Notamacropus eugenii: one gene and its partners. The protein of the gene in region 3 purifies or fractionates together with the protein of the main gene of each other region. This does not show direct contact. Links are inferred from orthologs where the notes say so. Each region holds a gene or a part of one and is shown on either strand. Other genes may lie near its edges. The genes, in order: IFT74, IFT46, IFT57 and TRAF3IP1.

Evidence for each region.
Region 1: the proteins of IFT57 (region 3) and IFT74 purify together in Homo sapiens (affinity purification with mass spectrometry; 3 studies listed by BioGRID and IntAct, counting the BioPlex papers as one, with this or other methods). This does not show direct contact. The link is inferred for Notamacropus eugenii from reciprocal best matches to the Homo sapiens genes IFT57 and IFT74.
Region 2: the proteins of IFT57 (region 3) and IFT46 purify together in Homo sapiens (affinity purification with mass spectrometry; 3 studies listed by BioGRID and IntAct, counting the BioPlex papers as one, with this or other methods). This does not show direct contact. The link is inferred for Notamacropus eugenii from reciprocal best matches to the Homo sapiens genes IFT57 and IFT46.
Region 4: the proteins of IFT57 (region 3) and TRAF3IP1 purify together in Homo sapiens (affinity purification with mass spectrometry; 3 studies listed by BioGRID and IntAct, counting the BioPlex papers as one, with this or other methods). This does not show direct contact. The link is inferred for Notamacropus eugenii from reciprocal best matches to the Homo sapiens genes IFT57 and TRAF3IP1.

The regions. Positions count from the first base shown.
Region 1 is NC_092872.1:117,072,768-117,080,549, reverse strand, and holds the start of IFT74 (intraflagellar transport protein 74 homolog), read right to left. Parts: upstream 3,006-7,782; 5' UTR 2,269-3,005; intron 1-2,268. Other genes in the region: PLAA (phospholipase A-2-activating protein), read left to right, coding at 3,317-3,465. UniProt on the Homo sapiens protein: Component of the intraflagellar transport (IFT) complex B: together with IFT81, forms a tubulin-binding module that specifically mediates transport of tubulin within the cilium. Binds beta-tubulin via its basic region. Required for ciliogenesis.
Region 2 is NC_092876.1:280,244,485-280,251,689, reverse strand, and holds the start of IFT46 (intraflagellar transport protein 46 homolog), read right to left. Parts: upstream 3,020-7,205; 5' UTR 2,958-3,019; coding exon 2,712-2,957; intron 2,619-2,711; coding exon 2,522-2,618; intron 1-2,521. Other genes in the region: ARCN1 (coatomer subunit delta), read left to right, coding at 4,887-4,889. UniProt on the Homo sapiens protein: Forms part of a complex involved in intraflagellar transport (IFT), the bi-directional movement of particles required for the assembly, maintenance and functioning of primary cilia. May play a role in chondrocyte maturation and skeletogenesis.
Region 3 is NC_092876.1:360,922,130-360,929,343, reverse strand, and holds the start of IFT57 (intraflagellar transport protein 57 homolog), read right to left. Parts: upstream 3,005-7,214; 5' UTR 2,858-3,004; coding exon 2,640-2,857; intron 2,538-2,639; exon of another isoform or gene 2,449-2,537; intron 584-2,448; coding exon 421-583; intron 1-420. UniProt on the Homo sapiens protein: Required for the formation of cilia. Plays an indirect role in sonic hedgehog signaling, cilia being required for all activity of the hedgehog pathway.
Region 4 is NC_092873.1:65,997,789-66,005,051, reverse strand, and holds the start of TRAF3IP1 (TRAF3-interacting protein 1), read right to left. Parts: upstream 3,008-7,263; 5' UTR 2,865-3,007; coding exon 2,742-2,864; intron 1-2,741.

The DNA of each region.
Region 1 (7,782 bases), on a different chromosome or scaffold from region 3:
ACAGCTTTTTACTAGTTAGGATCAGAATCAGTTTAGCTTCAGATTTCTGCTACTTATTACTTCTCCTGGTATGTCCCTTAACATCTCTAAAATGAAATATTACACTATTATGACTTTTCTATTCTATGGTCCAGTACAAGTTGAAACCATTAAAATTACATAAAATGCTTCCTCCCTACTCCAATCTAGGCTGCTTTCCACTGCCGTATAGACATTCCTAAAACAGTATTCAGTTGTAAGGGATGAATTGAACTTTTGTTTCCACAGAAAACATGTAATACCAGAAAGTCTCTTATTTGTTGTGGAATGCAGGAAAACAAATGGATTAGAAGGAAAGTCTTGAGAATGTGGATTAACATTTCACTAAACCGAATGTGGGTATCTGCTTATCAGCATAGCTAAAGGTGAACATCTCCTTCCTTATACTTTGGATAAAATTCACAACCCTGAAGTCTAGAGAACTTCATTCCACAATACTATTTGGAATATTGGGGCTCTTCTTAGATGAAGGAAGAAACTTCAACATCCTGGGTTCAGTCTCTTATTAATTGAGGAAATTCCTTTAAAATAATTTATGACTTGTCATTCTTTTACCAAAGAAAGTATAAAGAAAATGAGAAACGTAAGCAGGGATGGAGACCCACGTAGGGTGGGGTTTAGGTGTTTTCAGATAGGCTATGAATCCTGACCTGACCAATGGGATGCAGGAAGGAAATTCAAATCGGGATGGTTTTTAGAAGCTTTGTAATTGTCTGAAAGGGTGTGTCTCCTTATGATTACCCTGGCTCCCGCCATCTCTGGCAAAAGAAAGATTAATGAAATCTTTCCTTAATTTACTGAAGGCCATGTGGAATTTTTGCTAAGAGGATTATTTCTCACAATTACGGGGAGTTCATCTTGGGTCCCACACTGGTCCTGCAGGACTTATTATGAAGCAACTGCTTCATTCACCCTGAGTCTGTATAATTTACTGCACCTGTTTGGCCTGGAGGGGTTCTTTCTCACACAGTCATTCTTAAGATATTCAAAAACTTTCAATGGTTGTGCTCCCCTCTCTCAACAATTGTGCACTTTGTATATATCCTGTATATATTCATCTGTGAACATGTTCTATACTCCCTTAGCAGAAAGTAAGCTCCTTGAGGACAGCGAATACTTCATTTTTGTAATTCTATCTCTAGCACCTACCTCTGTTTTGGGCACATAGTATATGCCTGATAAATCCTTATTGATTTAACTGTTAAATATTCTTTGAATTAAATATGCTCCATACCATCAATGAAGAAATGAATGCACTTAGTAGAATAGTGTACTTCATATTTGCTGTTCAGTCATTTCAGTCCTGACCAACTCTTTGTGACCCCATTTAGGGTTTTCTTGGCAAAGAAAAGTGGTTTACTATTTCCTTCTCGAGCTTATTTTACAGATGAGGCATCTTAGGTAAACAGGATTCAGTGAACTGTCCAGGGTCACACAGCTAGTAATTGTCTGAGGTCAGATTTTAACTCAGATCTTCCTGTCTCCAGGCCCAGTCTTCTATCCACTGTGCCATATAATAAAGGTTTATAATTTCACAGAACCTCATTTCCACTATGTAGTGTCCATTAAGAAAAATCTTTTTAAAGAAAATAGCAAGTATTCAGAGACTTTTAAAAATAATGAAATACATAAATGTGTGGTTAAACATGGTCCCTAGTGTCAAGAAGCATTTATTAAGCACCTATTATGTGCCAGGCACCATGCTAACTACTGGGAGATGTATGGGAGAAAGGCAAAAACAATCCCTGGTCTGGTGGAGCTCACAATCTAATGGAGAAGGCAACACGGAAACAATTATGCACAAGATATGTACAGCGAGACTGCTCACTGGCATTAAAGGGGATGGGAGAAAAAAAAAACCTCATGGGAGGTGAGCATTTATCTGAGATTTGAAGGAAGCCAGAATTTGGAGAGAATTCCAAGACTGGGGAAAGCCAGTAAAAATTCTTGGGGTAGGGAGATGGAATACCCTGTTTGAGGCCAGCGTCACTAGATTGTAGAGTGTGTGGGGAGGAAGAGGTTTAAGAAGCATAGAAAGGTAGGAGGCAGCCAGACTATGGAAGGCTTTGAAAGTCCAACAGGATGTTTGATCTTGGGTGTGACAGGGAAGCCACCGGACTGTGCTGAGCAGAGACCATGGTGTGAGGCATGACGCGGTCAGACCTTGACAGCTTGACAGCTGAGTGGAGGATGGGCAGCAATGGGCAGAGAAGAGGCAGGGAGACCAACCTGTAGGCGACTGCAGTAATAGCACAGGTACGAGACGATAAGGGATTATAGCGTACCACGTCGCTGGCAGCGTCAGAGCAGCAAAGGGGGCGGATAAGGTACGATCCACAGGACTTGGCAACGAATGCGATGGGAGCAGGTCAAGGATGACTTCAGAAGTAACAGGGGAATGGAGGAGGGAAGAGGGTTTGGGAGGGTAATGTGAGTTCTGTTTTGTACGTGCTACGTTTAAGATGCCAATTCGAGATGTCCAACACGCTGTAGAACATACAGATCACCCACTTTAGGCCTAGTTTGCGATTCCCCAGACATCGAGGCTTGTAAAAGCAGAAGATGGAGCTTATACACGAGAGGAAGGTGGATGCTCTGGGGGAGATGGCATCGAGAGAGGCTGAGTACTGCTGCGACTGGACATGTGTGTACACAAAGCTGCAGCGTGGACCGCTCCGATGGAGTTCACTCTCGCCCCGCCCCCTCCATAAGCCCGGTGGCCGCATTGCTCCGCGGGACGTGTAGTTCCAACTGGTCTCTGGTTTCAAACTAGGACTTGGTTAAATCCAGAAGTGGATGTGAGAATTGGCCTTCCTCGGCGGCGGCAATATCATCACCCCCTTCTCTTTCCCGGAGTGGTGAGCCAGGGCGCGGAGACCGAGTGAAGCGAGAGCGCCCGTCAGCGGTCCCAGCTTCACGCGTCGCGCCCTCCTGAGGCCTCTGCTTCACGCGTCACGCCCGGCGGCGGCCGATGACGCATTTCCGGCGTGCGGTATAGGGTTGCTGTGTCAGAGCCTACTGTCCTTCCCCCCTTCCCCCCTCCCGCCCGCCCCGTTCTGCTTACGGCCCCCTCTTTCCCTCCCCGGTCTCCTGTTCTCACTCTCTAGTCACCGCGCGTGTGGCCCGGGCGCTTAGCGGGGGTGGTCTCTGCCCACACGCTTTCCCGGCCTCCCTTTTTGGGGAATTTGGGGGACAAGCACGGTGTCCATTTTCCCCCCTCAACCGCACTCCCTACTCCCCTCCTTTCATCCCCGCGCTGGCCGGCGGATTCGGGGCCATGGCGAGCGGCGGGGGCAGGTACCGGCTGAGCTGCTCGCTCCTGGGCCACGAGCTGGACGTGCGGGGCGTGGTAGCCGGCCTTTACCCGCCGGGGGCCTTCGTGTCCGTGTCCCGAGATCGCACCACTCGCCTGTGGGCCCCGAACAGGTGAGCATGGCCTCGGAGTGCGGAGAGCGGCGTGGCCCCGCCCCAGCCTTCGCTTTTTGGAGGCCCCCGCCCCCCCAGGCGTCCTGGCCGGGAATCTCTGCAGAATCCTGAAGTCTATTGGAGACTTCCCTGCGCTTTTCCAACCAGGAGGAAGTAGGGACCGGGCCTTCTAGCCTCAGGGTCTCCCAGCACGCAGCCGCGCGTGGTTGCCTCCTCTCGCTCGGGTTAGGCCCGGAGACTTCACTGAACTTACCTCCGGGATGGTGTTGTTAGCTGTGGTTTTGTGCTTCCTAGACGTGACCCGGGTACGGCCAGGAAGAGCTTCCAGGCCGACTGGGGTGGGCGGGATTCACTTGTATACAAGCTGTTCTAAAAACCAGTATAAAACCACTTGGGAAATTTTGTCTTGGGGTTTCTCACAGACGCTGATGCCTTCCGGATAGTGGTCATTCTTCATCTTAGATCCTGCTGCTCAGATGTGAGCATCTAAAGTCTCATCACAAGTACAGCGAGAATTTTTTAAGGGGCTCCTCAGTCACGAGGGGCTTCCCCTCTAAAGCCAGAGTCAGCAGTTAGGCTGAATGTCTCCACCAGGGGTGGCCCTCTAGGTCCTCAGGTTCAGCCCCTTGACTGAAGCCAGTTTCCAGGGGCCACACTTGAAGATCTAGGGGCCAGTTGTGGCCTCAAGGCCGCAGCTTGTCCACCCCTGGTCTTAATAAGACTATGCCTATGATAATGCTTCAGGATCTTGGAGACTTGTTTATTGTGGATACTTTTCTTGTAGTAATGCAGTTCCTCTCCCTGTTTTGTAGTAAATCTTTCAAAAAGCACCTTTCTTTCATTCTTTGTCTTTTAGCATTTATTTGTTCCTAGTGTAATAATAGTCAGGGTCTCCATTTGTTCTCAACAGTTTACTCTCCAAATGACGTTTAGTTTATTTCTGTTCAGGCTGTATGTTTCCTAGATGGCACCTTTTTTTCACACCACTTCTTGCATACAGATTATCACTGGCAACGTGCTATAGTGCGCTTGTGCCTGCTGTGTGTCTTTCCACATACCCTTTGGGTGTTTTTCAATTTTGATTCTTTGGACATTGGAATATGATTGGAGGCCATATAGTAAAGATGAAAAATGAGTTGTATTAAAAAGGCTGGTTTTACATAGTACTCCAAAGGCACATCAGAAAATCTTATTGTTTTCCATATTTTCTGTTCTGGGTTCATTTTTCATCTGCAGTGCCTGTCCAAGATAGATGAGTTTGTATGTGTGGGTATGTATATCCACGTACCCACACATATACGCACGGGTTTGCTGATGAAATAACTCATTCATCTACCTTTCAAGGTACAATTTATAAGCAATACATGTTCTTCATCCACTTTGTTTCTCCTGCCTAGGTTGTTTTGTTATACCAGCCTTTTGAGTGACTCTGGATCTCACCAAGGAGGCCCTATAGGAATCCGGAGTTTGATGTAATCAGTACAGTGTTATCTGCAACAGGAGTATCTAGAGAACCTTACTACCTATGGAGTATCTCTCGAGTATGGACTGTTGTATCGGCAAATCTTTGGGTAGCATATATTTTCCTGCTTTATGCCTTCTTGGTGGATATTGTTGCATCAGCTTTCTCTTGTTGCATTAGTCAAGAAATCAAAGAATAATCTTAACTTTTGTATCTTGTTCTTGTTAGAGGAGAGCCTATGTGCATTTAGTGCTCTGAGTCAAATTTATTCCTTTGTTTTTGGCAATTAACAAATTTTCATAGCTAATTGTATGGTCCTGAACATGTGACTTCTTTTGAAAGTTATCTGTGAAAGCCTGCTTTTTCTCACATTTTTATCAGGGATACTCTTTGATCCATATAGACACTATTCTCAAAAAGATTTTATATAGATGAAAGACATAGATGGGGATTTGCTAGTGTTTGGTCATTTGCATCTTTTTTTATGATAATATCTTCTGCATTTTTTTTCACTCCATTCTTTCGGTAGAGTTATAGAATTTCTGAAATGGAATATCTAGTTTAACCCATTATTGAAAAAGGATTCCTTTTACAGCATTCTCAGTGGCTATCCATCCATTGCTGTTTGTGAGGTACACCCTACTTCCTTTGGTAGCCCATTACACTTTTGGATAGCACTAATGTTTAAGAAATTTTTTTCTCATTTCAAGCACAAATTTGCTTCTTTGTAACTTCCTAGTTTGGTACTTGGAACCAAACAGAATAAGGGACGTTTTCCATGTGTCAGCTCTTCAGATACTTGAAGAAAGTTATTATATCTTTCCAAGTCTTCTGTACTCCAGGCTCACATCTCTAGTATCTTCAGAGGAGCTTTATGTGATAGTAGCTTTACATACCATGAACTTGAATTTTTGAGATGTTCAAAATCGATCCCTGAAGATCTTCAGAATTGTCACCTTGAGCACAGATTCCTTCTATATGTGCTAGACAAGGTACGCAGCACTTCCAAATCCATCTTCTCAAATGACGTTTCCATTTCCTCATATAATGCATCAAGTATTGAGATATTGAAGGTTAGATGTGGTAGTTCTATTACTGAAGGGAAAAACTGCTACAGAAATACTAATAGCTGTTTGTTTATATATGTTTTTCAGATGATTGGGCTTAGTTCTCAATTTATCTTTCATTGCTTTTTATTCTGTGAGGGAATACTATTTTCTGCTCCTGTAAATATGTCTTTAAACCCTAGTTTTAGCTTTGCAACTAAATGTTTAATCAAGACTGACATCCTTTCAAAGTTTATATCTTAGGATTTTCCTTAACTAAATGGAAGAGTTGCTCGGTACTTGCTATAATAAGGTAGATAAAAATCACCCCAGTTCAATTCACTGAACATTTATTAAACACCTTATTTGTTCAACAATTGGCTTATTCCAGGAAACAGAGATGAAAAATTATATGAATACTGCCCTTAAGGACCTTACCATTTTACCCAGACTCAGTTATATTAGTAATGAATAAAGGAGTAGACCTTTTATTTTTTAAAAGTCTTTTAAAAGTCACTTAAGACTTAAAGCAAAACATCTAGGGACAAAGAAGGAAGGTCACAATCATATCAGCCAGTATAATCTAGTTTATGTGTTGGGTCCAGGTCCACTCAGCTTTGGAGACCTTAGTTACTTGTTGACTCTGCCTTTGAGGTGTCTGGATCACAATCACTTTCACACCAGACCAGGTTCATAAAAGCTGCTAAAAGCCATGGATTTTGTGGGAGAGGAGCTGAATTCTTGTCCCAAAGAGTCCATTTATAATTCTAGGCATTGGACCCTTGCAGGGCCCAGTTGACCCCAATTGGGAATATAAAACTGGGTTATGGAAGGACACTGGAGGTAGGGGAGTTCTGCCGAGAGGCTATCATAGTACTCCAGGTGAAAAGTAGTAAGCAGTCTTGTTGCAGCCAGATCTAGAGGTGCATGTGTGCACTGTGATTCTCTTCAGAAGGTGGGGAAAGGGAAGGGAGTAAGAATTTATACAGGGTCTACTCTGGGTTTGGGTTTAACCCTCGTTGTTACACCTCAAGAAACTGGATCAGTTCTAAGATCAGCACTTTAGAGTGAACTCCTAGCTTTATTCTTACCAACACCCAATCCCCTTGAAGGAAGTTATTAATGGCTGTATGGGAATGTCTTCTGTACTGGCAATGAAATGACTGAAGCATAAACCTGGAGTCTTCATGGGTCTGCATGAGTTACCATGCTGTTGCTTCAAATTCCTTGGGTCTGCCTCTGGTTATGTGATTTAGAGTGGACCTTTACTTAGATGTTATACTTTAGTGTGCTCTTCATCTCATTCCCCGTCACTCCCCATTTCTGCTTAACAAAATCATGAGCTTCTTTGATTGCCCCAACGTAATCTGCTTTTCTCCAGAAGCAGAAAACTGACACCCTTAGCCACAAGTGGTCTCTCCCTTCTCTGAACAGCCCTAACTACTCAGGACATGCCATTTATCACCATGAGCTTTTTGGTAGTCTTTTCTCATCTATCCATCTTGTGTCCTGTATCCATCTTGTATATCTTGTACTTTTGATAAACTTTAATTGATTTATTTGATTATATGAAGCAGCACAAGGAGTGCTATAGCAGAGCTGTGTAGAGGAGATTGAAAATCCCATTTTCATGTCTGCTGCTGAATTGTGGCCTTGATGTCCCTGTAGTAGACTTTTCTGTAATTTAGAATGATAGATGTTCCGTTTATTAAGATATATTATTCAGCCCCAGAGCTATGTGAATACTTATCATATATTGACATTGTGATTGTCATTGTTGAGATTTTCTATAATGGATTAAATTATTAC
Region 2 (7,205 bases), about 81 Mb from region 3:
GGTTAGAACAAATAAGAATAAAGGGACTTTAAGGAAAAAAGAACCTGCTTAAATAGAATTAGAGTACTATATTCCTGACTAGTGATTGAAAGAGACAGTATGTAGAAGACATAAAAATGCACTTGGATTAACAACTCAAATATATTTATTTGATTTCATTCTATATGGGAGACTATTATTAAACACAAAATGCCACAGTTTGCTGTGGCAAAAAATTGGAAACAATGTATATGGCACATCAACTGGACATTGGCCCAATAATAAAGAACAATGAGTTTGAGGAATCTGGAGAGAAACAGGAGAAAACATATGAATAAATCAGAATCAAGAGAACAATATAAACACTGACTATAATAATATAAATAAAGGCAGTGATAAAAGACAATAGAACCCAGATCAAATGCAACCACTGATACTGGTTTCATATAACTGGTGTTGGAACACATCAATTTTAGTAGTGAAAGTGGGTAAAGAATGTTATATACTATACTGGTCACAACTACTGCACTAGCAGGTTTTACTTAATTATTTTTTATTTATATTAGGAGAGTGGGAAGGTTACTCTATTAGTAAATGTGGTATAAAAAACAAACTGCATTAATAAAATCTTACTTGATAGTGTGGAAACTAACTCCAGATTGGATACTGTTGGTAATCTGCCTGTAATTTAAAATCATAAAGTTGCCTGAGGCTGAGAAAAGTTAAGTGACTTGCCAAGGGTCATAAAGCTGGAAAGCATCAGAGGCAGGATCTGAATCCCAAGAACTCCTGACTCTGACCCAGTACTCTATCCACTATAACACTTCTGCCTCTCTTAATAAAAGATACAAAAAATGAAGAAATATACAATAATATACTACATATGACACAGTAACACTCATGTTGTGAGGTAACAGAATAAGATATAAGCCTTATCCTAACTGGGGAAGCAACTAAACTTTAAGGCCTAAGAGGGCAAAGATAATTCTGGCTAAACTCTTCATCTCCTCCATCATCTAGGTATTCTGCACACAACTGGAAGTAGCCTACCCTAATTTCACCTCAAATTTCTTTTCATAAATGAAAGTGTTCTGACCTCCTTAAATCGTCCTACACCACTTTTTCTGAATTTCTCCTCTGCCCTCTTCACTTGCCACGTGTGCACATGTTGCCTCTCTCCCAGCTCCCAGAGGTCAAAGACTGCATTATTTTTGATCTTGGCATTCCTTGTGCCTCACTTAGAATTTTGCATATCAGAGGTACTTAAATGCCTGCTGCTGTTGAATATGACAGGCACAAAATAGCATCTAATCAAGTCCTGATTTGTGTGGTACAAACTATAAAAGTGGTAGAAATACAGAGGCAGAGAGCAACTTCCCCCATATGGGTTTACAAAGCACTTTCCTCATTCTGTGATGTAGGTAGTAAAAATTTCCTGTTTTACCAATAAAGAAACTGAGGCTCAGAGAAGTTAACTGCTCTCTCCGAGGACCATCCAGCTAGTAAGAGTCAAAGTCAGGATTCAAGTCCAGATCTGATGACTCCAAGGGCTCTCTGAAAACTAAAGTAGTCAAGCAAGGTCTCACCAATGAGGAAGGACTTGACCTCGGCCTTCTTGTATAAGTAGGATTTGAATCAGCAAAGGTCAAGGAGAAGACAAGGGGAACAAGAGTCACATGGATGGGACATTAAGATCTTCTAGTTCAACTTCCTCATTTTACTGATGAAGATGCTGATGTCCAAGGAGGTTACATGATTTGCCCAATGGAAAGCAAAGATGGCATACGGGCAGTAATGGGTAAGAAAAAGAAGGTACCTGTTTGAGAGCAGTGATAATTCAAGGCTAGATAGGTAGGTTGAGGTCAACTGTTAGAGGGTCTGGAAAGCTAAGCAGTTGGGGAATAGCTGAACAAATTATAACATACAAATGCAATGGAATACTATTGTGCAGTAACAAACGATTAAGAGAAATATAGGAAGTCTTGTTAAATTGATGAGAGTGAGGTAAACAGAGCCAGGAAAACAATTTATACAATAACAACACTGTAAAAACAAATAATTTTGAAAGACTTATGATCTAATCAATTCATGGTTATTCTTAATTCCAGAGGACTCATGATGAGGAATGCTACTTATCTTCTAACAGACAGATGGTAACTACACATGTAGAAATAAGGGACTGGATATGATCAATATGAGAATTTGTTTTGCTTGCTTATACGTATTTTATGTTATAAGGAGATTGTTGTCCTTTTTTCTTTTCCAATGGGGGAGAAAGGTAGGAGGGAGAGAAAACAAATTCCTGTTAATTAAAACAACAAAATCTAATTAAAAAGAAAGCTAAGCAGGGCTTAGACTTGCCACAGGAGCGCCAAAGCAGACTAAAATTTGGGAGGATTAGTTCCCTCCCTCACTTTGCTGGTGGGAAGAAGGAGACTGCTGACATGTGAAATAACGGGGTTCTAGGTTCAAACACTGTAAGTCTGGAGAGCGCCCCTGAGCCCCCTCGTTCTGCAGTGGAGAAGAAGCGCTCTTTCCCTACCTTGGTGCCGCGGGGTGGGAGTATAAATGCTCGCCACCTCTTCTGAGTCATTGATCTCTAGACTCTCATCGTACGGCTGGTTCTCAACCACCTTGGTCTGTGCAAAAAGAGCAATGATGAGGCGGGTCCTCCCCCATCCCCTCCCCCCTCCGCTGCAAGCCAGGAGGGCCATCAAGGGGAGCCCCTGTACCAGCAATGTCGCTTCAGAAACCTGTAAGACCCGCTCATCCCAGCCCGGGGGCTTCCACAGAGATGTCCTCTGGCTCAGCTCGTCCCCCCAGGGCTGCCGGGAGCGGCTCAAGGTTGAAGGGGTTCCTAGTCCCCCTCTCTGTCCTGGGGTCATCTCTGGGGGTAATAGGGAAGAAGTCTCCCGCTGGAGCCCCAACGGGAGGAGGAATCCCATTCCCTCAGGCCCATCCTGAACTCCTAAGTGCATCCCCCCTCCCCAGGTAGGACGCGTCTCTCCGGAAGCACCGCGGGGGGGGCGGGCCCTGTGTTGCTATGGAGACCGAGGGGTTGCCATGGAGACAAGGCGTCCTCCCGGGTTGTCACGCCTGGTGGGGGGGGGGTCTCTCTAGCCTCTCCGGGCCCGGTGGATTACCTGCAGTCCTTCCGAATCCGTCTCCTCCATTTGGAGAGGACTTGGGGGCCGAGAGCGCCGGATTCAGCCCCTCCCCAGGCCCAACGACGGCAGGAGCCTCCAGCTCAGGCGGCGGCCGGGCGGACAGTCTTTGAGAGGAGCCGTCGCGAGATCTCCTCGCCTTCGCGTTTGACCTCGTGACAACTCCGGCCAGCCTCCTTGGGGCGGCCGCCTCACCCACCGGTCCGAGGCTTCCTCGGCGCGGTTCCGAGAGCCTAGAGGGGTCGCAGCCCCTCTGGGCAGCCAGGCCGGCGCATCGGTGGTTTCGGGAAGCGCGCCTGTGGTGACATCTAGCGGCCAACCTCAGGCAGCGCCGCTGTGGCCGGAGACCCGCCGGGAGAAGCCGCTTACTGCGCTTCCCATCAGGGATCGCCCGCCGGTCGGGCGACTTCTCTCTGGTCCGTCGGTCCTTTCAAAGTCGACACGCGGATCCTCCAGGGAAGAATGGACGAAGGGCAAGGCCCAGACCACTTGGATCTGCTAAACCTTGGGGGTAGCAGGAGCATTCCTTCTTCCGGCCTGGATGATGACGGTCCGGTAGGCACTTTTCCCGGACGTGTCAGTTGTTCCGAATCTTGCCCCTACGAGGCGTGTGCAGCAGAATAGATTCCTTTCTTTTGCAGCCGAGATTGGCTGATGGCTCCCCCGAAAGCCTTAAGGAGTGAAATGAGTGGCAGTCACCGTGTAACACAGCACAAGTACTTCTTTGTTTCGACCCCAGGCGGAGATTCCGTGAGCTTCCGTGAGCTTCTAGCCACAGTCCCCAGACCTGTGAAAAAATTTTAAAATATGCTGACTTTCTACATAAAGTCCTTCTTAAGAAAAATAAATGTTATTTGAAAACAAAGATCCATCTTTTCTCTCTCCCTTCCCAAAGTAAGAAGAAACAAAACCCCCGCTATGAACATATATAGTTAAGCAAAATAGATTCCTGCATTGGCTACGTGATATGTGGTGTGCGTGATGCACTGTGAGTCCATCACATCTCTGTCAGGAGGGGGGAGCATGTCTGCATGAGACCCCTGAATTATGGGGGGGTCATTCTGTTGATCAGTTCCCAAGCCTTTTACGACAAGAAGCATGTAAGTGCCAGGCACTGCGCTAAGCACTTTAGAAGTCGTTTCTCTTCACAGTATGGTGGTGGTTGTATAAACGGTCTCCAGGTTCCGCTTACGCTCACTGTGCCTCGGTTCTCTAAAGTCTTAAGCCGACTGTAGCTGCCGAACACGCGTCTTCCCCCGCTTCCTCGGCCGCAGAGACCTGCTGGGCTGGTCTTGCGGTCCCTGCAATACACACAATAGGTACTTAATAAATGGTTGTAGGATTAAATAGAACTGCACTGGATCGCAGATGGCGCTGAAGTGGGGGGGAAATAGAGGAGTGAGCCAACGAGAACACGCAGCACCAAAGCGCCCCGGTGCCCAGGTGGGCAAGGGCGACCGTCGGACCAAGGAAGGCGCAGGGGACAAAGGCGTGTGAGATCGAATGGGTCTAGACTGGGTGGGCGGGTATGGTGCCCCCACTGATCCCGCCCCCTGCCCTTTAACCCGCGCCGTTTCCGGTTGGAGACGTGGCTCGGGGCCGCCATCTTGGCAAGCAGCGAAGCGCTGGTGGCTCCTGTCAGGGGAGCGGCAGGTCCGAAGTGGCCGGTCCTCCCCTCCCGGGTCCCTCAACCCTGTGCCCAGTGGAGCCAGAGCTCGGGCTCGCCGCACCACCGCCCTCATCATGGTAAGATCCGAGCTGGGCCCCCGGTCCGGCCTCCGGGCATCCGGCGGCCCCTCTCCCGGGCCGGCCAGCCGGCCTTGCCTGTGGAGCGGCCCCGCCTCAGCCCTCCTCGCGGGGCCCCGCGGGCACCATGCTCCTGGACCGGCCCTCCTCAGGCCTTGGGAATCTCAGTGAGGGCCCCCCTGCCGTCCGGACGCCGGGCCAGCTGCAGCTCCCCCGCTGGGCTCCCGCCGGTACCCTGCGGCCGGCGCCCAGCCTGGGGGCTTGTGCCCCTGCCCGAGGGAGCGGAGCGCAGGCTGGGCCTCCCTTCCGTTCCGCAGGCCCCTTCCCCCTTCGAGATACGTGGACGAGGAGAGCGAGCGGGCGGGCGCCGGGCTGGACCGGGCTGCGCTTCTCCAGCGCTTCCCTCCCTGCTAGTCTCCTGGACTCCCCATCCCCGTTCGGTGCTTCCATGTAATAGGTTTCGGTACAGGAAAATTGTACTTTTAAAGAGTGATCTGTATCAGTGCCGGGTTTAGCTGCGTCGAGGCTATCTTGAGATCTTTTCCCTCCCTTCCCATTGATTCCAGCAGAGAAAGCTCAGGACCCACTGCTGATCGACCGGCCCCCGTTCACGTCCAGTTGAAGGCATAGAAACGTGGAGAACCAGGCCTCTGGGATCCTTGAGGAGTTTAGATTTAGAGAGGTAGTGTCATCTGTTACCCTAGAAACTCCTTCGTTTTAAACTCTTAAATTTTCATAAACTATTTTAAAAATGGAGATATTTAAACAAATTCAATCTGTTTAAATATCTCAATTTCTTAAGTAGAAAAAGAATAAATTAATAGACAAGTATAGGACTGATCCTGGGCCTCCTGGCCCCGAATCATCTAGGGAGAGTGATTATATGTTCTAGTGTGGAAATAATACTATTTCCACTTGGAGAAAAAAACATAATTTTAATAATTTACTTGTATGAGAATACTCTAGCTTCTAATTACCCCAAACTTGATTCTGGTAACACCTTTAAATTAAAATTCAGTAGCTTCATTTTGCTGTTTTGGATACCTAATGTTTTCATGTCCATTACACTTTTTCTAGTCATTTAACAGTATGTCAGTATTCTGATTTAAAGTACCTTTCCACATATTGAAGAGCTGACAGTGTGATTTGATGCTGGTCAAAATGGCTTTTGCTGATGGTCAAATGAGATAGGAGGGAAGATGTTGCTTGGACTTTAAGAAACTGACAGGGTTATTTTAGTTAGATAAGTTGCATAAAACAGTAGTTCTTGGTAACATTTTTGTTCAGCATTATATAAAGTTTCCAGAAAAACAGATCTGGTTTTAAAATTCCAATAATCACCAAAATATTGAATGGGGATTTTTACACATCCTTCTCACATGCTGAAATCCTTTTTAGTGAATTTCAATGCATTTAATTCTGAATGTAACTGTTTAGGTGCTTTAAAGTTTCGTGTTTTAAGAGTTTTATCTTTTAAGCTAAGTGAACGGTCTCTGAAATCTTTCTTTAAAAAGACAGCTGGATTTGCAAACTCAGGTGGTACGTGAGTCTTGCACTTTTTGTTTATTTAGATGAATGTTTTTATGTTCATGCATACTTTAGTATAATGTAACATCTAGATCATGCATGACTCACATACGTGAAAATATGGGTTCTTTAGGGGAATCTATCACAACTTTCTCTAGAGTCCTGAGTGCTATTGGTAGGTTGGTGCGGTATTTTCATTCTCTGTTTACCTATAGAATGGTAATTTCTTGAATATAGTAAAGTATCTATTTCATTAAGTCTGTGCCCCCTGTTCCAGGCCAGAGCCTTGCTTATGTGCCAGCCCCACCTCAACTTGTAGACCCTGGGCCATGCTTTGCTTTCACAACCAAAAATTCCAGATAAATGAGAGCCCTGTGTAAGTAACTGTTCTGCCAATCCAGATATTCCATTTCTAGCCTCTATACTTTAACACAGGCCATCTTGTATACTTGAAAAACACTTCTTCACCTCTGCTTGTTCGAATCCTTTACTTTCTTCAAGGTTCCACTTTCTGTAGGAAATCTTTTCCCATCCTCTTTGTTAAACGTTTCTGTTTCCTCAAATTGTCTTGTATTTATTTATCTGTATAAATATTATATCCCCCTTTACAAACTAAGCACTTTGAGAGCAGGGACTACCCCATACAATATGAGTAACTCTTTTCCACATGAAAGGTCTTCAGATATTTGGAAGATGATAGGCATACATCTTTTCCATCTTCCTCCTGCAGACATTCCAATGTCTCTCTTTATCTTTGTGTGTCCATCAGCTTTCAAAAATGCCATATAC
Region 3 (7,214 bases):
CACTACTACCCCTTCCCTGGAGTAAGACCAGAAATAAAAAACATACTTGCATTATGAACCACCATCAAAAGATGTGTCAAAATATAAACTGTTGTTCAGTTGGATGCTGCTTATTTTTTCAGAAAGGTAAGCTAAAAATCCACGTTTTTAACTTCTGATTAAGAAATTTTTAAGATTAAGAAAAACAATGCACATTTTTGTACTATGTACCAGTGTAAATTTTGGAAGCTAGTGACTTGAAACCATGTTGATGATACTTTGAATGTAATTGTAACACTTTGATATATTTTGATATATCCCATCTGAAAAAGTTAGAAATTCATAAACAGGAAAAAGATTACAGTGTGCCATTTATATTGGAATTAATTAGCAAATACAGTAAGCTTAAAAAACACAAAAAACAAACTCTTTTGCACTTACAAATGATCGAAGCTCAGATAATATATTAGATATTGTTGCATTGGGGTCATCATATTCCTGTGGCTGTTCAAAAGGACATCCCGCTTTATTAATTAGCCAAGCAGCAAGAGTGCAAAACATGTAAAACTGTTCACCTGGGTTGGTAGGCAAAGCAAAATAATGTCTGTTTCAAAGGAAAAAAAAAGAAATCTTAAAGAGCTGCAAAATAGTAACATCTACGATATTTCAAAAGGATGTTTTATTTTAATAACAACATTAAAAACAAACAAAAAGCTAATAATAGATCGCTTCATCAATTTCAATATACCCATATTAACATTAAAGTTTCTTAATACAGAGAATAACAGGTATTAGAGCTGCAAGGAAACGTACAGATAAAAGAGGCACCCAGAGTGACTAAGCCAATTTTTAAAAATATATTTATTATTCTGTTTTAAACTACCTAGAAAAGTTATACAGCTAGTTATTGACAGCATTGGATTTGATTACTTAGGTCTTCTGATAACTCAGTTCTGTGATCTTAACACTTCTACATGGCCTTTCCAAATTAAAGAATCAGAAAAAATCTTTACTGTTATTTGCACATGGAAATAGCTGAACTAGTATGTCTGTAGCACAAGGAAGAAAAGACATGAAATAAAGAAGTGTATCTGAAACTTAAAAAAGATTAAGAAGATCCTGAATGCATCATATGACTTAAAATGCTTTAAGATACCACATTCCAACTCCAAAATACACATGTTCAATGTGACTTCTAACCAATCCACCAAGTCCAACAAAAACCAGTCCCAGATCTGAGATACTATGAAATTTAGTACCAAATTTCAGAGCAAGATGGCTAGCAATAACATTAAAGTTCAGGAATTTTTCCTGCTTTTGTCATGATCATAAACTTCAATTTATAAAAAATCCATTTATTAAGAGCATGCTATCGATGCTGCAGTTGTCAACTTTTTTCAATACACAATCCACTTGTATTGAAACAGAAAGAAGGGCAAAGAAGGGAGATGATGTCATATTATAAATACAAGTACACACATCTCTCTTAAACCCTTCCACTGCTTCTCCCAAGAAGTATATATGGTTACAGATAGTTATTACTACACCTCTACTTTCTTGGTCAAAATTGATCAATGGAAATGAAAAAACCCAATGTCTCTATACACATATTTAAGATGCACTCAAGAGTCTTGATCCTGATTGAATTGGTCAGGTAATAGTGATAACATAATTGATATCAGAAACAAGCAACATATTACTTTTAATCTTAAAAATGTATTTGGGCAAAGTGTCGTATCTTTGGCAGTACAAATATTTTGCACAGAGTGGGCACTTAAGCGCTTGTTGAAATGAAATACAAACGAACCACATTATACTAATAATCCAGTCTAAGAAATCAATCTCTAATAACCTGTAAATCATGACCTATGACTAAAACCAACATTATAAGCACGTCGTTCTTTTCCTCCAACTTTTCACTGATTATGGATAAACTATGCAAGTGAGATGACTTAGATAAGGACCAGGCAGTTTAAAATTTTGGATGATTACAGGAATGAAGAGTAGAAGAAGGCGTTTGAGATAATTCCAGGAAAATTATTTGGACTTATCACACATTAAGTAAAGCAAGGGTGCTTCCAACTCTAATCTGAGCTCACTTGTCCAACACAAAAAGAACCAACGCTAATCTTCGCTATGGAAAGAAACGTATGAAACCAATTCATCTGGCTAAATCTAGAGTAGGTGGGTTGGTGAAGAAAGTGGTGGCTGTCTATTCTGGCCAAAGCAAAAGAGGCACTGCTTTGCGGATATATGACAGGTTCTGAACCTGCCCCCCAAACAAAGGTGTGCCGCTCCTCGGACTTCAGAGAACGAGCACCCCGGGGCGCACGCCAGGGGGAACAGATGTAGTCCCGAAAGTTCGGTCCATATGCCCCACGAATGCATCTTCCAGCCTCCCCTGGCATCGTGCCTTGCAAAAGTGACACATTTCGAAAGATATCCAATCGGAACTCTTGCACGCTCCCTACCCCCTCTCACCTAGGGCCCGGAACTCCTCGGGTTCGGTACTCCTGTCCTAGCTGGACCGGGCAAGCCCAGAAGATGGGGGCCACAAGGTAAAAGGGGTGCGTGCACTAAGCAACGGACGGGACCCCATCAGCCCCTGGGTCCGGCCTGCGCGGGGGGAAGGGGGCGTGGTCGCGGCCTCGGGGTCCTACCTGGACAGGGGCTTCAGGTTGTTTCTGCGCAAGATTTCCTCTTCGTAGCGCAGCAGTTTCAGCTTCTCCACCAGGTCTTCCATCACCACGAACATGTGGTAGGCCGCGCCAGGGCCGCGCTCCACGTACAGACCCTCCCCGGCCGCGTCCCCGCCACGGGGCCGAAGCACCGGGTCCTCTACGCCTACCGGAGACACCACGGCCGCAGCAACTGCCATTTCTGCGGGGGAGGAGGACAGGGGTGGGGGCGTGGGGGGGAGCGGCCCAACTACCTCCCCAGCAAGGCCGCATCCAACTCGGCCGCTAACGCAGGGCGCCGCCGTCGCCTGGCAACGCGTCAACCTCCGGTGACGTCACGCCCTTGCCTTGTGACGCCCACGCGCCCCGGGGCGCCACACCGACGTTCCCTAGACCCCGCCCACTCCACTCTGCATGAACGAACAGGTGGCGGGCGGGGCCGCCCAAACTCCTGGGCCAAGCGAAGACCTGGTCCGGTCCTACCTCCCGGTCTTGTTGTCTCCGACCTCCTCCTGCGCACTTTTTGATCCACTTACTCCGGGCTCTTGCCTGGTCTTTGAACGAGACCCTCCATCCCTCTTCTCTGGGCGTTGTCTCTGGCTGTTCCCCACACCTGGAACGTCCTCCTCCTCCGCTCCACCTGGCTTCCCTGAATCAGCTCAGCTAGCAGCCTGCCTGCTCCTGGAAGCCTTCCCCAGGCCCTCGGAATCGTTGTCTGTTTAGCCTGCGTATCTGTCTTTTGGTCGGTGTGTGTTCGTTTGCCTGTTGTCTCCCCCAATTTAATGGGACAAGGGACTCTCTTTTGCTTCTTTTGCATCCCTGGCGCTTAGCACAGGGATCAATGTTTATGAAGTTGGATAGGATGTAGGCATCGAGCAGAATATGTTTGTACCCCCTAGTGAGGCAGGCATAGATGCCAGCTCGTAGAACTCTGAATTTTGTGTAAGCTTCGAAGTTCCCTCCTCCTTCCCTCTGGCAAGAAATGATGTGTATTTTCTTCCCTAGTGCATCTTATTGCTTGCACTTTATAAAGTTCCTTAACAGATTTTGTAGGCTCTTAGAATAAAGAGGAAGGGGGCAGAACATTCTTTTTATCTGACCTATCACTGAAAACTCTCAATTTAGGGGATATTTACAGTGTGGAGGCATCGAGGTGGGAGGAGAGAGAGAGAGAGAGAGAGAGAGAGAGAGAGAGAGAGAGAGAGAGAGAGAGAGAGAGAGAGAGAGAGAGAGAGAGAGAGAGAAGGAAAATATGAGAGTTTTTGGTCTTGGTGCATTTTTGCCTGATGGAGACCAGGGCTTAAGGTAAAGGTGGAGACATCTACAACCAATTTACCTGCTACTGCAGAAATTAGTGGAGGGAGAGTGTTTGCAAAGCTCTGAAAAGTGGTCTTGTGAAGAGTACCTCAGAAGGGTTGTGATTGAAGAATGTCTGCAAGCTGTTGCTTAAAAACAAGTTTTAGAAAGTGATTTATAGCGGTTTTGAGGATAAAAATCACTTAGCACTTAATAACTATTACTTAGCAATTAGTGAGTGTCTTTAACTGGTTTCAAGGGTGAAGAAATGAGGAAAGTTCAAGTCTACAGATTTTCAACCACAAGGATTTCTGAAACCTTTTAAACTGGCCTTGCCACTTAATGGTATGGAAACTGAAGTCCAGAGTGATTCTAGAAAGGAAAATAGGCATTGAAGCCGTTAGATTTGCTCTTGAGGAAGTATACCAGCTTCAGATTCTGTTGGCAGGCAATGGTGTATGGCCTTCCCATGGGCTTTCTGTCTAAATATGTGGGAGAAATATAGTTATCAACTAAGGAATAAAACTTTCTCTATAGTTTCATTATTATTTTTTTTAAGAAGTAGTTACAGGAGATACAGAGGAAATGTTTGTAAAGTTTTAGATTAGAGATTAGAAAGACAGATTAGAAAAATCTCTTGATTTTTCACTGTTTAAACTAATTTCAGTGGATAAAATACCTTTCAAACCATTCCTTCTAGGTCTCATCAGGATTGTTTATCCAATAATTTTCATTCACTTGTACTTGGATATGGTAGCACTTGACAATGATATATTTTCTCTGTGTTCCTAGAAGGTAACAGTTATTTATCACGGGCAATTTCCATTTTCCTGAGGCTCTCTTCATCTCCTGGCATTAGTTGGCCCTGTTTTGCTTTTAATGTTCAGTAGCTCTCCTTACCTTTTCCAGGTGAAATGCTTAGCTGTAGCTTACAGCCTTCTAGGTCACAGGTTCTCCACCCCAGCCTAGAAAGATCCATCATTTTGTCATTATTGAGACTAGTGGATGTTTTCAAAAGTTGCTGGGATGAAAAAAGATTTATCAATAACCATCCCTCTGGTACTGAGCCTCTCTACATGGTGTGCAGTTAACAGACATAGTAGTTGCCAGGGCCCATTTTAAAACCTTTCCAGTTTGAGAGAAACTGCCCATGCTTAGGGTGAGCTAACACAGCCCTCAAAAATCCAAAATCAGCTGAAGTGGATCAGCTGATATTGTTTCCAGTTTTCTTCCATAGTTAAGCAGCTAATAAGGAAAGCAGACACTATAAAGAGGGCGGCTATAGGTTTAAAAAAAATAGTGTCAGGGAATTTGTCATCCAAAGTTGAGGCAGGAGTAAGTGTACCACATGGAGGGTTGGTGGTGAGCTTGGAGCTGGTCAGAAGATTCAAGCCACTCTTCCTTTTTCTGATTCTTCTGGTTCCTCCAGTTACTTAATAACTGGTGTTTTAGCAACAGAAAGTATTGTAGTATACTGTATTAGGGTAGGGAAGTCCTGGATTCTAGGCTGAATGACTAATACTTAATTGCTGTTACCTTGGTCAATTTCTCTTCTACTCATTTTTTTTTTGTTTTATCTATAAAATGAGGGTGTGGAACTAAATATTCTTTTTAGCGTATTCTAGCTCTGTCGTAAAACTGTGAAGCTTGGTTTATATGAGTTTAGATGAGTAGATCTGATTTATTCAATGCCCGTTTTCAACTGATTCCAAATAGCAACAATTGTAATAACAGCTAACATTTCTGGAGTGCTCCCTGTGTGCCAGTCACTCTGCTAAGCACTTTACAGTTATTATCTCATTTGGTCCTCACAGCAACCCTGGGAAATAGGTGCTGTTATTATCCCCATTTTACAGATGAAGGGAACTGGAGAGAAACAGAGGTTAAGCCCAGAGTCATTCAGCTTGTAAGTATATGAGGCCAAATTTGAACTCAGGTCTTCCTGATTCCGGGCCCAGTACTTTATATACCATGCCATGAAAGTGTTGAGGGTCAAATGGGAACTGAGAAATAGTATCTAAACATATAAAGTTTTAGTATTTCAGTATATATATTATATATAGTATATTATATATACATCTTATATGTTATATATACAATCAGTAACTTGTGAAAGTTCTAAGTGACTTGAAACTATTAATCTTTTATAACATACTCAAAAACTACTTAATGCCTACTATGTGTAAAGTATTGGGGGATAAAAGACTGACAAGGTTCCTCAAGAGTATAGAAAGACAATAGCGGTACCAATAGAAATGTAAACAGTAACCCAATTCAAGGACTTAATGAATTGATATGATATTTAGCAGACAGATCTGCCAGAGATAAACCGAAGAAATAGTGATCAATTCCACTGAACAAATGTCCCTTCAATTCCTTTCAAGATGAGGGTGGGGTGGAACAGTGGAGTAAAGGAGGGGCCTAGTACATTAGGACTACAGCAGGCCTGTATAACATATTGCCCACAGGTCACTTGTGGACCTACCAAAGGATTTCAGGTGACCCTGGAAAATGTAGAGAATAAAAATAAAAATGTAATGAGTGCTTTGTCCATGCCCTGGTTAACCTGCCTTCCACTAGTTATTATTGTGTCCTTAGTATGGTGGTGACCACATCCTGATAAACTGTTTCAGCAGGTTGGCTAAACCAGGTTGAAGATAAACTAGAGGTGAGTTGAGTTAGGGGGGGTGTCTACCTCAAGCATATGAAGACTTCCCCTAGTGGAATGGGCAGATGAGAACAATTTGTTCCAGCAGTCATGAAGGCAGCTGAAGCAGGCACTGTGGAAACACTCAGAGCTTGGTTAGACATCAAAGATGCCAATGTCATCCACTGCATCTGGAGCCACCACCAGCTGACTTGATTCTGTCCTGCCACTGGACTGTGATGACTCTGGAGGAGAAAGTGAGGCTGATAATTTCATGCAGCTCTCTCTCTCTTAAATTTACTTAACACATGAATCAAAAGACATCACCTGTCATTTTACAACCATTGGACCCATCATGTAACTGGTTAGGTGTGTTGCCACTGTGTACTCTCTCCTGTTTGTCACATAGCAACTAACCCTCATCAGTCTTTCCCTAATGACTAGACTCATTATGGCCCAAAGAAGTTTAGCCTATTTTAATTTTAGTCCCTACCTACTGCCAAGTTGTACAAGTCTGGACTACAAGGTTACAAAGATAAGTAATGTGTCTCACCTGAAGGGCTTTATAAGCAAGCAGGGAAGATAAGTCTTGCAAATTTTGCAAGTCTAAAAAG
Region 4 (7,263 bases), on a different chromosome or scaffold from region 3:
AAAGCATCAGTAAAAATAAGATAAAAACAAAACACCATTTTTTTTTTTTAGCAATTCTGATGCTTTACACTGATTTTATCAAAAAGTTTTTTCAAGATTTCAGAGGTCCTAGCATTTTAAAGAAACTGATGGTCAAATCAACTGGCCCTATAAGATACAAAATCTGTGATGTCTCCAGGGCCCCTCTGGAAAAATCATGGGCAAAAATCATGGAGGACAAAACCTTGGATGTTTGGATTACCCACCCTACCAGACAAGGTGACAGAGCCTGCAAATTTTCAAAGGTGTTTTCTTTTGGGGGGATGCTAGAGGGGTCCAGACCTGAGATTTCATGGCTCTAGGGAATTTCCTGTGTGGAGCCTCACTGCATTGAAGCAGGTGACCAGTTCATCTGGAATTTATATAGTCTCAAAGTTGGGGTGGGAGTGGGTGAGTAGATATGGGGATGAAGGTTAAATGACTTACCAGTGGTCAAAGAGTTAATATATGTTAAAGACAAGACTTGAACCCAGGTCTTCCTGACTCTAAGGCAGGACCTCTAGCCATCAAGTTATGGCAAACATTAAATATTATTACATTGGCAGATAAGATGAATTTAGCATCCTATCAATGAAAGGCTATAGTGGCAAAAAGATGAGGGCCCACAATTCTTTATACACAACAGAAGTATCTTGCCTCCCTATGAATAATCAAGTCCTTCTGTTTGTTTCTTTTTCTCCCTCAGTCTTGCTACTACTACCTCAACCAATGCACCTAAGAATGCCAGAGCAAAAAGAAGCAGGTGACCTCAGAGGACCTTAGAGGTTAGAGACTCTCAGGGACAAAAGAGGCCTGTGAAGCTCTTGAGGCCAATTGCTACCTAAGCAAGAATCTGCCTACTGCATAACCCAACTCCAAATGGGCACCCGACCTTTGCATGAAGACACTTCTCCTTCCCCAGGCAGCCCCTGCATGTGGGGAAAACTTCAGTTGTTAGGAATTTTATCCTCACATCAAATCTCAATTCTTCTCTTTGTCACATGCCCAAATGGTCCCCAGTGCTGCCCCTCTGGGGCTAACCCCTTATACAACCCCCATTTAGAGATGGGCACACACATCAAGGCTCAGGGAGTGGTAATGACTGGCTCAACAGCACGAACAGTTAATGGCCAAGACAGGAGCACCCAGAGCTTTCAATCAATGAGCAAAGAGCAAGCTGAATGCAGGAGATTTTGCAGATACAATTCACAGGACTTAGTACAGGGTGAAAGACACTGGAATATGAAGGTGAGGGACATGAAGAAGAATCGAGGTTAATTCTAAAGTTTCGAACGGGAGGCCCTGGCTGGGTGACGGTGGCATTAACGGAAATGCTGTCAGAAGCAGACTTAAGTATTACTTTTCAAGCATATGTAAATGGGGTCGTTATGAAGAAAATGTAAATTCATTTTTAAACATCAGTGAATTAAATGTTTTGTTGTTTACTTTTCAATTGATATCCATTATGCGATATGTCTATATATTTTTTTCTTTTAGAAAAAAGGGACTCTCATACTCAAAAAGGTTGGGAATCCCCAGGCTACATGACAGTACCATCAACTAGATTCTCAACTGATTGAGCGAACGTAGTCTGCATAAACAAATGATGGCTCTGTGGCAACTTAGGGGGATGTCTCTGGTGGATAGTCTGGGCTGTTGACCATTTTTATCAATGACTCAGATGAAGAAACAGATGGCACATATTTATCAAACACGGAGATGACATGAAACTGGGAACATTTGTAGGGCAGTGTCAGGCACTTCTGAAGCTCAGTTAGATCAAACTGGCATTCTTTCATTCTTTTAACTGCTTTTACCCAACAAACCAATTAACCAGACCCGACTTTGGGGTCCTATTTCAGTTCATCTTGTCCCATGCACGGCACAAAGCACAAAAGTGGTCATCTTCCAAGGACTAGTTCTTTCCTGGGGACTGTTGTTCAAGGACAGAATTCCATTTTCTTTCATGCAAACCCAAACTCCAGCTGCACTTTATAGACTGGCTAGTCCACAGCAGTAAACACATCTTTCAATTTCTCAGTCTCCTAGTTGCATTAAACAGAATACATGGTTTTTCAGGATCGATTTCCCCCTTTCGTTGGTTTTTGACAAAGGAAGGTTGGTACCAGCAAGAGGGAGAACGTCTGTATGACCCGAGCGGTCCAAGAACCAAGCAGTGCCCGTCACCGGGGGGCTAAGGGCCCCGACCCGCACCCCGACCCGCACCCCCCCAGCCTCCGGGCAGACGGCAGTCGGGAAGCGCGCCGGCCTCCCATGGCAACGCGGGCAAACACCCCAGCCCAGGAAGTTTCACATCCAGCCGACTCGGACGTTCTTGGGAAGACTAAAAAATCAGCATTCCACAAACAGTCCCGGGACCTGACCCTTTCCGGAGGGCAGGGGCTGGAGGAGCCTGGACCCCACAGGTCGCAGGTGGTCACTGAATCCGACTCCCCTGGCTCTGCGGCGTGCACATTACGGGGGCGCCCCTGCTGGGCAGCTCCCCGCCCCCCCACACCCCCCAGGGGGGCTCTGCTCAGGTTCCCCTCCCCCTCCCCAGGGGCTGCCCGCAGCAAGCCGGAGGCGTGAGCGGCGATCTGCACAGGCAGAGGGAGCTTGCCGAGCTGGGAGGGCCGCCGGCGGCAGCCCCGCCCTCCACAGAAGACCCCCCGCTAGGCCCAACCCCCCGGGGCCTCCCCTGCCCCCCCGGCCTGTGCCCGCACCTCCGTGACTATGTCGTGCAGGTAGCGGAACGGGGGCTTGCTCAGCAGCTTCTCCGTCAGCGGAGGCTTCTTGATCACCTTCCCCAGGGAGTCCTGCGTGCGCTTCACCACCGACGCGTTCATGGCGGCCCCGGCCGCGACCGGGCCACCTCAGGCCGCCGCCTGGCCCCGCCGCTCCCGCCTCCACCGCCGCCGTCGCCGCCGAGCTCGCCGGCCCATCCCACAATACACCGCGCTCCACAACGGCGCCTGCGCGGACCCACAGCGTTCTGTCGCCAGGCGCGCGCCGCCCTAGCAACGGGCAACAAGCCGCCGCCGCCGGCATCACGTCCCCTCCCCCTCACCGTCCAATCCCGGCTGGCCGTCTCGGATGTCCCCGCCTCCAGAGGTCGCCCCCAGCCCGGCAGCCCGCCTCCTCACCAGAGTCTAGGCCCCGCCCCCTGAGAGCGACCCGGCCCCCAGCGACCTGGCCCCCCCTTCCAAGGCCCGAAGACCCGGACTCTAGCCCCACCCCTCGTCGCATCCCTGCGAGCTCCTCCACGGCAAGCTCCGCCCACCCACAGAGGCCAGGCCCCACAGCCCTAGCGGCACCCGCTCTTCATTAGCCTAGCCCCTCCCCATTTCCAGCCCCCTGGACCCGCCTCCTTCCTCCTCCACCTCCCACCTCACAGCCCCAGCCAGGATCCTGGCCCCGCCCTCAGGCCAGCCTGCAGGAGGCGGGGTGGGATGGGGGAGGAGCCCACGGGTCTTCTGGACTCCTCCCTCCTGCCCCTCTCTCTCCTCCCCTCTCCTTCCCTTCCTTCCCTTCATTTCTCTTTTCTCCCTCCCAGTCACCTTTTCTCCTCCTCCCCCTTCTCGTTCCCCCTCCTCCTTCCCTGTCTCCCAAAGCATGTGGGTGAACGCTCCCCCTCTTAAGTCACAACCTCCCTAGGACTCAGTTTCCTTACCTACAAAACGAGAGAACTGGACAAGACGGCCACTGAGGTCCCTTCTCTCAGAGAATCTTCCTCCACTCGTCTTCCTCTTCCTTCCCCACTTCCCCCATTCTCCCTCATTCTTCTTGTCTTTTCTACGGTGAATCCTCTATCCTTTTTCCTCCCCCTCCCTCTTTTGTTTGCCTCCTCTCTCAACCTTTCTCTTCCCTGCTTTCCTCCTTCACTCTCCCATCCCCCTCCTCTCTCTGCTTCCCTCTTCTCTATAGTCTTTCTTTCTTATTTTCTCCCTGAAGACTAAGACTTTACAATTCCCTTACTTATCATATTTGAGGTAAATGGGTGAGGGTCTGATTAGTCATTGCCCCACTAAACTTTAAAGAAAGTAACAAAATACCCTACCCTGATATACACATCACATTTTTCACTCTGTGAAAATGACCAAATCCAAATAGTTTAAAAGAGAAATAAGAATTGTGAATGCAGAATTATAGCTTGCACAGCAGAAGTATTCGGCAGAATAAAAATTTTGAACCCACAGTAGCAAGTGTCACCAACAAAGGAAAAGAAAATAACTCAGTGGGAATGCGTACACACAGAAGTGAAAGACAAACTGGGAGAAGAGGAACTGAAGCAATAACATTAAGAGAAAATGTGGGGGCACCTAAGTGGAGCAGTAGATAGAGCATCTGCCCTGACATCAGGAGGACCTGAGTTCAGATCTGGTCCCAGACACTTGCTAGCTGTGCGACCGTGTGCAAGTCACTTAACCCCAATTGCCTCCAAAAAAAGAAACGAAAGAAAAATGTGATCTCCATGCATGAAAAACATTAATCTCAAAAACCAACTAAGTGACCCAGAAGAACACAAGTTAAAATAAAAAACATCATAATGTGAGAAATAATACAAGAAAACTGCCTAGAACTTCTAAAAAACAGTGTCTATCAAAAGAATTCACAGATCACCCCCAGATTAAACAAAACTCCCCAAACTCCTATGCTGTAAACTCCAGTGTTTCAGTTGAACAATTCCATTGACAACACATTTTCTAAGCAACAAGGGGAAAGACTTTCAAGAATAAAGCAAAAGAAATTTTAAAACACAACTCTTTAGCACTGACCAGAAACTGTAGGAGATATTGAAATAACATGTTCCTATAAGCAAAGGAGCTCAAACTCAGCCCAAGGTGACCTAACTTGAGCCTGACTGTTAGGGAAAAAAATGTGGATGTTCAATAATGAAGAAGAAGCTTTCAGAGAATTCCCAGAAAGAAAACCACACAGAGGAAAGTATTTGCTTTTCAAATGTCCAACATAACAAAAATATAAGAAAACAGGGGCAAGAGCAACAGGAGGACAGCCAACCAACAATCATTGAGACTCTTTCTAAATGTACATGAGAAGAAAAAGGTGAAAGCAGAAATCAAATGGAAGTGATGGTGAAGAAACAAGCGTAAGATATCATAGGCTGAACCTCACAACATCCCAAGTAGAGGTGAATCAATGCTTGTTATGGGATTAAATGTCAAAATAAGAGGACACATAAAAGAGGGGAAAGGAAGAAAAACATAGAGGGGAATATGTGATATATCCCAGGCAAGTCAAAGTGCAGTCATAAGAGAAAATGACTCCTGTCATTTCTCAGGAGGAAGAGAGGCTACAGTAGAATGAGTGAGGAGACAGAAGGAGGGATTAAAAAAGGGAGAGTAAAAGACGAAAATCTTGGGAACCAAGATGACTGAGTAAAAGCAAGGACTTGCTTGAGCTCTTCCACCAAACCCCTCCAAATACCTGTAAAAATGATTCTAAATACATTCTGAGCAACAGAACCCACAAAATGATGGAGTGAAACAAATTTCTAGAACAAGACAACCTATAAGGTCAACAGGAAGCATCTATTGCACTAGTCTGGGAGTAGAACAGTCCAGCATGGGCCATGTCTGCACAGATAGGGTTAGAGAAATCCTCAGGGGACTGAATCATTGGCAACTGTGGCAGTTTCTAGACTTCTCAACCCACAAATGCTAAATACCATATGGAAGTTCAGCGGAAAAACTCTGTGGGATCTGGTCTGGCTGGGCTCTGGCCCCAGCCCTGGGGCATAGGAGGAGGAGGCGGTGCTGATGACAGCACCACCAGCAGCAGCAGTGAAAGCTGTAACTGCTTCTGGAGCTCTGGGCCCACAGATTGTGGGGGACTGAGTGACTGATGCTGAGTGACTGAAGCCTGGGACAGTATACTCACCCCTACCTATACTGGAAGAAGAATCCTATCTTGACAAAGAATTAGAAAGTCTAGTATTTGACTGGGAATATGAACAAACAGTGTAAAAAACCTCAGAAAATCTTTGGTGACAAAGAAGATCAAAACATAGAACCAGAAGAAGACGACAAAGTCAAAGTTCCTACATCAAAAGCCTCTAAGAAAAATATGAATTAGTCTCAGGCTATGGAAGAGCTCAAAAAGGATTTTGAAATCAGGTAAGAGACATAGAGGAAAAACTAGGAAGAGAAATGAGAGTGATGCAAGAAAATTATGAAAAATGAGTTAACGTCTTGCTAAAGGAGACCCCACCCCCAAAAAACTGAAGAAAATAATATCTTAAAAAATAGACTAACCCAAATGCAAAAGAAGTCCAAAAGCTAATGAGGAGAAGAATGCCTTAAAAAGCAGGATTAGCCAAATTGAAAAAGAATCCAATAGCTCACTGAAGAAAATAATTCCTTAAAAATTAGAATGGAGTAAATAGAAGCTAATGACTTTATGAGAAATCAAGAAATTATAAAACAGAGCCAAAAGAATGAAAAAAAATAGAAGACCATGTGAAATATCTCGTTGGAAAAACCACTGATTTGAAAAATAGTTCCAGGAGAGATAGTTTATAAATTACTTGACTACCTGAGAGTCATGATCAAAAAAGAAGAGCCTAGACATTATCTTTAAAGAAATTATCAAGGAAAACTCCCATGATATTCTAGAACCAGAGGGTAAAATAGGAATTGAAAGAATACACTGATTACCTCTTTAAAGAGACCCTCAAAGGAAAACTCCTAAGAGTATTGTAACGAAATTCTGGAGTTCAGAAGTCAAGGAGAAAATATTACAAGCAACCAGAAATAAATAATTTGAGTATTATGGAAATACAGTCAGGGTAGCACAAGATCTAGCAGCTTCTACATTAAGGGATTGAAGGCCTTGGAATATGATATTCCAGAGGTCAGAGGAGCTAGGATTAAAATCAAGAATCATCTATCCAGCAGAACTGAGTATAATACTTCAGAGGAAAAAAATGGAATTTCAATGAAATAGAAGACTTTCAAGCATTCTTGGTGAAAAGACCAGAACTAAATAGAAAATATGACTTTCAGATATAAAAATCAGGAGAAGCATGAAAAGCTAAACAGGAAAACAAAATCATAAGGAACTTATTAAAGTTGAGCTGTCTACATCCCTGCATGGAAAGATGATATTTTTAACTCATGAGATCTTGCTTATTATTAGGGTAGTTGGAGGAAATATATATGTATGTGTGTGTGTGTGTGTGTGTGTGTGTGTGTGTGTGTGTGTATGTGTGTACATAGAGGACACAGG